Linked DNA regions of Mus musculus. The protein of the gene in region 2 interacts with the protein of the main gene of each other region in a pairwise test. Links are inferred from orthologs where the notes say so. Each region holds a gene or a part of one and is shown on either strand. Other genes may lie near its edges.

The links.
Region 1: the proteins of Mycbpap (region 2) and Mycbp interact in binary tests that used the Homo sapiens proteins (3 or more experiments, as listed by UniProt). The link is inferred for Mus musculus from reciprocal best matches to the Homo sapiens genes MYCBPAP and MYCBP.

What each region holds. Positions count from the first base shown.
Region 1 is NC_000070.6:123,903,253-123,907,862, reverse strand, and holds the start of Mycbp (C-Myc-binding protein), read right to left. Parts: upstream 2,851-4,610; 5' UTR 2,791-2,850; coding exon 2,776-2,790; exon of another isoform or gene 2,630-2,775; coding exon 2,557-2,629; exon of another isoform or gene 2,302-2,556; intron 1-2,301. UniProt on the Homo sapiens protein: May control the transcriptional activity of MYC. Stimulates the activation of E box-dependent transcription by MYC.
Region 2 is NC_000077.6:94,511,476-94,515,285, forward strand, and holds part of Mycbpap (MYCBP-associated protein), read right to left. Parts: intron 3,181-3,810; coding exon 3,053-3,180; intron 2,467-3,052; coding exon 2,307-2,466; intron 2,147-2,306; coding exon 2,043-2,146; intron 1,303-2,042; coding exon 1,116-1,302; exon of another isoform or gene 869-1,115; coding exon 753-868; intron 292-752; coding exon 150-291; intron 1-149. UniProt on the Homo sapiens protein: May play a role in spermatogenesis. May be involved in synaptic processes.

The DNA.
Region 1 (4,610 bases), on a different chromosome or scaffold from region 2:
CCTATACCCTCCTACCATGTGAGTTTTGGGAATCAAACTCAGGTCCAGCCAGGCGTGGAGGCAGAGGCAGGCGGATTTCTGAGTTCGAGGCCAGCCTGGTCTACAAAGTGAGTTCCAGGACAGCCAGGGCTATCCAGAGAAACCCTGTCTCAAAAAACAAAAAAACAAAAAACAAACAAACTCAGGTCCATTTGGCTTGGCAGCAAGCACCTTCACCTGCTGAGCCTTCTTGCTGGCTCTTAGCAACTAGGTATTTAAAGCCAGGTATTTTAAAGTTTGCTACCCTGCTCAAAATAACTAAAATGCTATTTTATGCATTCACCTTCTTCATGGATGTTTTTGTCTTGAAGGTTGTTATTGTTCTGTTGTTGATGATTGGTTGGTTAAGTTTGGTTTGGTTTTTTTTTTTTTTTTTTTTTAAAGATGTAGTTTTACTCTTTAGCCAAGGCTGGTCTCAGATTCAATCAGTCCTCCTACTTCAGCTTGTCAAGTGCAATTAGAAATGAAACAAGATGTCTAGGTCTTCTGCATATGCCTCAAACCTTTGAGGCAAGGTCTCCCTCAGCCTCCAGCTTCCATCCTTTTACCTAGGCTAGCAGAATTATACACACCAAGACCCTGTCTGGCTTATTATGAGTGCTGGTACCTGAACTCTAGCCCTATAGTTGTGTATCAAGTAATCTTACCTCTAAGCCATCTCTCTAGCCTAGCTATAGTTTACTTTTTTTGGAACAGATCTTGATACATGCTCCAGGCAAGCAGTGAATGCAGATCTGTTTTCCCTCACCAGAGCACTAAAAACATGTCACCATGCCTGGCTTCTTACAATGTTTTCATGTTAGAAACAACTTTAAATCCTCTCTGAAATGTTGCTGAAAGAAAAATGTAAACTTGTATGAAACATCTCTGTTTGATCCTGTAAAATTTGGTTCCCATTCTCTTACACAGCCTGAAGGCTGCACATTGGCTCTGCATTCAGTTATCTACAATTGTACTCCATCTGCCTTTCAGTGTTCTTGCCTGTCAACCTCCTGCATCCATTTCATTCCACGACCCTACCACACAGATTATTTGGGACCAAAAGTGTATCAGTGTTTATCTCCAGAGGTTGAACTATCTACTCATACATAATGAGTGTTTTGGAGATGAGATCCAAGCCTAAACATGAAATTAATTTACATTCCATATAGACCTTATTCACATAATATAAACATGATCTTGAACAAGTACATATTCCTAGGCTCCTGAATTTTGACTGACATAATTTATGCAGTCAAGTATGGAACTTTCCACATCAATACTCAGTAAGTTACAAATCTGAGAGCAATTTAGATTTCAAAATTTCAGATTAAGGATACTTATCCGTACTGTTCAAGGTCTTCCCTCTGCCACTCCATGTAAAATGTCCCATCTTTATCCTTGCTATGGTTTAAGTTAGACATTTACCACTAGCTGGCACTAGTTTTAGTGTGTGTGTGTCCCTATCTAAGCTACAAGCTCCCAAAAGCAAGAACATTTCCATGGCTGTATCCCCTTGGTGCCCAGAACACACGGCTGGAGTAAAATCATTACATGAAAGAAACATGAGGGGTTTTTTTTAACAGAATTCCAAGCCATCTGTGACACTTCTGATGCCACAAACTACAGTGGTCTCACAGAGTAGTTCCTTATACTTTTGCTCACATTGACTTCCGATGACATAAGGAAATGAGTAGTAATTCTAACTTGTCAGTTCATCCATGTAAGAGAATTAAAAGCCCTGCTTTCTTCTAAGTTCTCCCAAATTTTCCCCTAGCTTTTGTTCCCTAAAAAGCAGATACAAATTATTTCCCAGACACTTCCTATTCTCAAAAGGACCAAGTTTTCAATCCCTGCCAGCCATTCCATTCTATTCCCTTGAAAACACCAAGCAATGTTGAGTTCTTACCATGTAGAAGGCATTCAATATACTGTTAAGGCCAGTTAGCTTTATTCTATGATTCCAACCACCATACTCTCTAGCCTTACACCCAGAAAGGAAGGGATACACTTTACGCTTCCATTGTTTTAAAGTAAAGAATATAGCTGTTTTTATGTGCTCTGAAGCACTTTTCAAATTGTAATTCCACTTTAATTATGATATCTACACAAAGTAGGAATTACTATAGGCTAAAAGAGTTGAAAAGCCACAGCCCAAACTGTCTATGAATCTCCAGCTTCGGGGACTAGAGCCATTTAATAACCCACTTTCAAATCCAGTCATTTTCTTAGTTGCCTTTGTCCAAAAGAAAAATTTGTAAAATCCCGCACACTATACGGCAGGGAGCAACTGGGATCTCAAGGTCTTGCTAACGTGTCCACTGCGGCTGCTCGCGGGAAAGCAACGGAAGTTGGAGAGACTTTGCAACAGCTGCAAGAGTTTCAGTCCGGGGCAGAGAGCGACCACCGGGGCGAGGCGAAGTCCCGCGGCCGGCGTGCGCCCGACCCACGGGACCCCAAGGCCTCGCTGCTCCCGGGGCGGGCCCCACCTGGCCAAGAGCGCGCGGACGTGGGCTGCAGCCGCCCGCCTCGGCTCACCTTTCGTCAGCGTGTCCAGCACCCCCGACTTCTCCAAGTACCTCCGGAACTGCTCGCGCTTCGAGTCGGCGGCCTGAGGAGACACGGCGGGTCAGGGACCGGAGCCCGGGGCCGGAGCAGGAAGACGGCGCGCCCCGCCGCCGGCCCCAAGCCCTGCACACGCCCCAACTCCCACCCGGCGCCGCCCGCACGCCCCGAGCCACGCCGCGCCCCCCTCACTTTGTAATGGGCCATAGTGACAGCCACAGCGGCGTAGCTGGCGCCGGAGACACGGGCAGGCGGGCTCCAAGCCTCACTGCTCATGCGCGGAACGGCGCGCGCGTCTGCGCACTGGGCAGGCACGGGCCGGGGCCACCGGGGTGTGGCCTGTTTTCATGGCGACCGGGACGCTGTGTATCCCTGTCTCCTCGGAGCCTAGAGAGGCTGCGTGAGCCCGCCCTCCGCGGTTCCGGGCAGTCTCGCGTCTTCCTGTTCCGGTTGCCGCGGCGATTCGGTTGCCTAGCAAGAGGCGAGGTTTAGGTAAAGCCAGGCGAACGACCTGTGGGGCCCTGGATGGGTGTGGCCAGGAGTTAGAGGCTCCTGATGTAGTATCTCCCCACGTGTTAGTGGGCGCGCACTCCTTGTCATTTGGGTCTTTGGTGAGGAACAGACCAATGCCGTGTTTCTTGGCTCAGAAAAATACCCAGCACCAGGAAAAAGTTCAAGGTCACCCTCAGCTAAATAAAGAATCTCTTTTGGGCTTGTTCAGGGCTTGCTTGTAATCATTAAGCCCCGTGATATTTGCAGATAACTGCTGGCTGGTAGAAAACTTATCTCTACAGCAATGTTGGATTAGGGCAATGACCTCTGAAGTGGTTCTTTTCTCTGCCTTTGTCATTAGTTTCCTTTTTTTTTTTTTTATACCCCCTTAGTGGTTAACATTAAGTTCTTTTCCATATATATTATGCGTGTTTTTATGTTGAAAATAATTATAGGTAGTACTAAGTGTGTATGTCTCTCTAAGGAGATTTCTAAGTGCAGAAGAGGGCCCTTTAATGAATTTGTAGTTGTGCCTGCTACTTGGCTAGATTTTGTTTTGATCTCTCTATATAGAAGTCATTCTATTCACTAGGCGCTGGTGGCACACGAATTTAATCTCAGTGCAAGAAAAGTGGAGACCATCCTGAGTTCGAAGCCATTCTGGTCCAAGATGGTCAGGGCTACACAGAAACCCTGTCTCCAAAACAAAGAATTCATTGTAGTCTTGTTTTAATGTAAGGCCCTACCCCCACCTTATCTTTTTGAAATCCAGTGGATTTTTTTTTTTCCAGGAGTTGGGGAAGAGTATTCATGCCGTGGTGCAGTTGGAGATCGGAAGACTCATAGGACTTGCTCTCCTTCCACCGTTAGTCTCAGTAATTGCATTAAGGTTGTCAGGCTTGACAACGAGTGCCTTTACCACCAAGTCATCTTACTGCTCCCTAGCTGCAAAGTTTCTAGACTATCTAAGAAAAGCAAAACGATGGCTCTATGTTGCACAAATAATGAAAATACTGTCTTTTCTGTTGGTCTTGAGAAAAAAACATATTTGGTTATGAGAAGCCACAGAACTTAAACTCATGTTGAAAGAACTTATGAACCCAGCTTCAACCACAAACTGAATGAAAAAGTGCAAAGCAGAGTCCCCTGGTGGGTGGTGCTTGCCTTGCCTCCCTTTGTTCCTGTTGGCAATGCCCTTCCTCCCTCCCATCTCTGCTCTAAGGCATTCGAGACTCATCCAGTTTTTTTAGTTGAGCTTTTTGGGAATTTTACATGGAGTGGGGATGGGGAGGCGTTGTGTTATTGTTTTGAGGCAGGGTCTCACCATGTGTGAACTCCCAACTCCACCCCAGGAACCTGGATTTTTTTCTTCTTCTTTCTTGGGACTTCCTCCTATATTGGAGCCAATCTAACCTTTCCATAGCCCTCTCTTGGGCCCTCTCTGGAGCTCTAGCTCCTGTCCCAAGCTCTTTAAAAAAAAAAAAAAAAAAAAAAAAACCTCATCTTTGGGTAGACCAATGAGCTGGCTCGGTGGA
Region 2 (3,810 bases):
CTGAACAGGTCCACATCCTCCTTTGCCCTATTAATCTTTCCTTTCCACTACCTCTGATGGGTGGTGGGCTGGAAGGGAGGTTAAAGCATTTAGGTACACTTACTAAAGTAGGTTTTGAAAAACATAAGCCTACAGGCCTTGCTTCTCACCAGTCTCCACTTGGATGGAGAGGGGCTTCCTGATGTGTGTGATGGGTTCCACCAGACCACGCTGAGTTTTCTTTTTGGTCATGAGAAGACCTGTCATCTCATCACCCAGGTATTCCAGTGGACTCCAGAACCAACTGGTTGCCTTAAAGTCAAGATGAGGACAGAGCAGTGAGGTCACCCCCTCAGTACCACAGTCAGAGACTCACTGGGGCATCCACTGGGTCCCACTGGAAGAAGAGTGGGCACTCAACAATGTTTTGTTCTCAAGATGCCAGAAAGATGGGATGATCTGGTCCCAGCCCAGGCACTCATTGATGTACCAAAACATGGCACAGTTCTTTGTCCTTGGTTAGACCAAAGATTGTAGTATAAACCTTTAGGAGACACACATGAAGACTCTTATAATAAACTGACTACCAGAGACCACCACAGGCTGAATTATTAAAAGTGAGTAGTTCTGGAAGATGAGATAAGGTAAGATCCCAGGGGGTTGATACTGCTTGGTAATAGACAGGCTATCTTCTCCCCAACTGTGTAACTGGAGACAAGCTGGCACTGGTCATCATGTGCATTCTGTGTGGTACTTGGGAACAGTGGCCTCACTTTTCCGTCATGCTGGGTGGGAAGTGCACGGTCAATGACCTCGCGCTCCTCCTGGATCTTCCTATAGCTCTCCCCGGTATGCATCAACAGCTCACTGGCTGGCTTCTTCAGGTGCTCTAGAGCGGGAGAGAAGGAAGGAAGACTGTGATCATGGTACCAAAAACAGAACACACAAGCTCTCGCACTCTGAATTGGGTGGCCCACTCCCTGCCTCATTTCAGAACCCACTGAGGCCTGAAAGCCAGAAGCTGTCATGGGGCAAATGCTAGTTAGTGGGAGTCTGGGCGGGTGAGAGAGAAGACACAGAAGAGCCTCTGTGCCTGATGGAGGGACCCTGGCAGGTCCCTAGTGGGCTCAGCTCACTGCTGAGAGCTTCCTGTTGCTTCTTCCGCAAGGCAATGTGCCGTCTCCAGTTCTTTAGGAAGTTGTGCTGAGGAGGTGGGGCCCATGGAGAAGGTCTCTCCTCCTCCTTGGGGGGCTTTGGCTTTGGCTCTTCTTTGGCTGAGATGAGGGTCATCAGGCAGGGCTGGATGTGAATCAGCTTAGCCAGCTGGAAAGAACAAGGGAGAGGAGGAGGTGCTGACCCAGGTTCTGGTTTCTGTCCAGCTCTAAGAACCTCTCCTCGTCAGGACCATAGGACGGGCAAGTGACAGAAAACAAACCAGGGCCTGAGGGATGCTGACAGTCCCCTCTGCCCAGAAAACTCAGCATCCTTCAGGGTAGCCGTCTTCTCCCCAATTGATGACTTCCTCCTGAGTAGCTGGGCCCTTAGTACCCTGCCTAACTGAAGTGAAGGCTCTAAGAGCTATGTGGCAGGAAGGAAGGTAACACGGGGACCAGTGGGGGTCATTTCCCTCCAGCCTGCACCTCAGCAATCCAGGCTCCAAAGAAGGGGAATGAGGAGCTGAGGCCAGAGCGCTACTTCGTTGTGGGGCTCAGTCTACCCAGAGTTTCACAAGGCAGGCTCTGAGTTCCTTCTAGTAAATCCCCACTCCACCTAGAGCTGTCTATTAGCGACTGGCTTCTAGGACTTGCAACTGCTTCCCAAGGGTCCCTTATCATCTAGGCCCAGAGACAGACCTAGCTCTAGAATCCTATCCCTGTACCCCCATCTACACACATACACACACACACACACACATACATACACACACACACACACACACACACACACACACACACACATACACACACACACACACACACATACACACACCCTTTGACTCTACAGAGAGTAAATGGCTTCGGCAACTTCTCTCAGCCACATAGCTCTCTATACAACAAACAAACCTGGGTGTTCCCTCGAGCAACCGCGATTCTTTTAAAGTCCTGGAGACTTCCCAAGATCTGGTGAGGGAGGATCTGGCCACTGCTTAAGAAGCTGTCATGAGGACCTGGGGGTGGGTGGGTGAAGGGGGAAGAGAGATGGAGAACCAGACGCTGTGAGCCACACACAGAGCAGCTGTTTGATGGACGGGGGTGGGGGGTGGGGGTTGGGGGGGGCGGGTTTTCAAGACCCATCAGGGAATGCAAAGTCTACAACAGAGCCCATACCGGAGTAGTCCAGAGGCTTGGTGGCGGCATCTGGAGTAGCAGGATGTGCTACCAAGTGGTAGACCCTTTTGCTAGAGTCTTTCGGTTTGAGCTTACGGATGATAAATTTCTGTGTGACCACAGGCTTTTCTCCTGTTTCTTCAAACTGAGGAACATGTTGCTAAAACAAAACAGAGCTGAGGAGAATGCGATCTGGGGAGAAGAGGAAGAACACACACACACACACCTCTGTTCTTGGTAGGATTCCTGAGGGCTGACTAGTCAGCTTTCCCAGATCCATCCATACATCCTGTCCTGGAAATGCCTGTGTGACAGACCTGAGATTTAGGAGTAAGCTGGAGGGGGATAAAATGACACCTGGCTTGTCCAGGCAGACTAAGTAAGAGCAACTGACAGGTAAGGGGAAGGGTTGGAGTTCAGCAGCCTCCTGCTCATTTTTATCTATGATGATCGAACTTATCTGCCCATCTATGGGATGGGCATGATAACAGTTGCCCCCAAGGTATCTCACTATTTTGTGGCTCTGGTAGAATCTCAGAAATGTGAAAACCTAACTTGCCATAAATTCTTTCAGATGCTAAAGGGAAAGAATTTATATTTGGTGTTTTTTGTTTGTTTGTTTGTTTGTTTTTTGTATTTTTGTTTTTGGCATGGTATTAGCGACTCCTTGGGATCCGGAAGCCAATGGAGAGGTGACCCGTGAACACGGCTGGGTGCTCTGTGCGATCCTTGGCCCTTGGCCTTACCTTCCTCAAGTCTTCCTTTTTAATGGCCAAGGCAAGAATGTCATCTCCTTGTAAGACATTGCTGACAGGCTCAGGCTCTTCCTGAATGGGGGGAGTGGGCTGTTCAGGTGCCTTCGCCCGCTTCTTTTCTGGAGAGAAGCAAAGAGATAGGTCCCAAGAGCTCTCTCGGCATATCTTTACTACAGACACAAGATAGGTTGAGAGCTCAGAACGCAACTGAGAGCTTGCCTACCAAGCATGTGCAGGTTAGTCACACCCTGAGTGCAATTTTTCCCAGCACAACAAACAATAGTGAGCCCTTGGTTCAAGTAAATAAATCTATATTAAACTGCATGGGGGGGGGGGGGCGGGGTCAAGACAGCCACCTGGACAGAACAGAACAGCAGAGGCTGTCCCAGGGGTCTGACGTGATAGGCGTTCTCTCCTACCGACTGCCCCTGGATTCCCTTAGCAATTGAATGGCTATAGTCAGAGCTGAAATAGAAATGTGGTCCCTTTCACACCGTGGCACTTTCAAGTCGGACGACATTACCTTGCGTCACACCGCTTCACTGTCTCTGTCCCTGCCTTCCACTTAACAAAAAGAAGAAGCTGGACTAAAAGAATTGCTCCCAACTGGTATGTCAATGATATCGTCACAATCTCCTGGGCACGGTCAATACAAATATAGCTTCCTTATCAGTGGGTTGAACTAAGAAATTCATAAAAGAAACAAAATACCCAAGACCTGAGATTGTGGCGCCCGATGCATTAGGGCA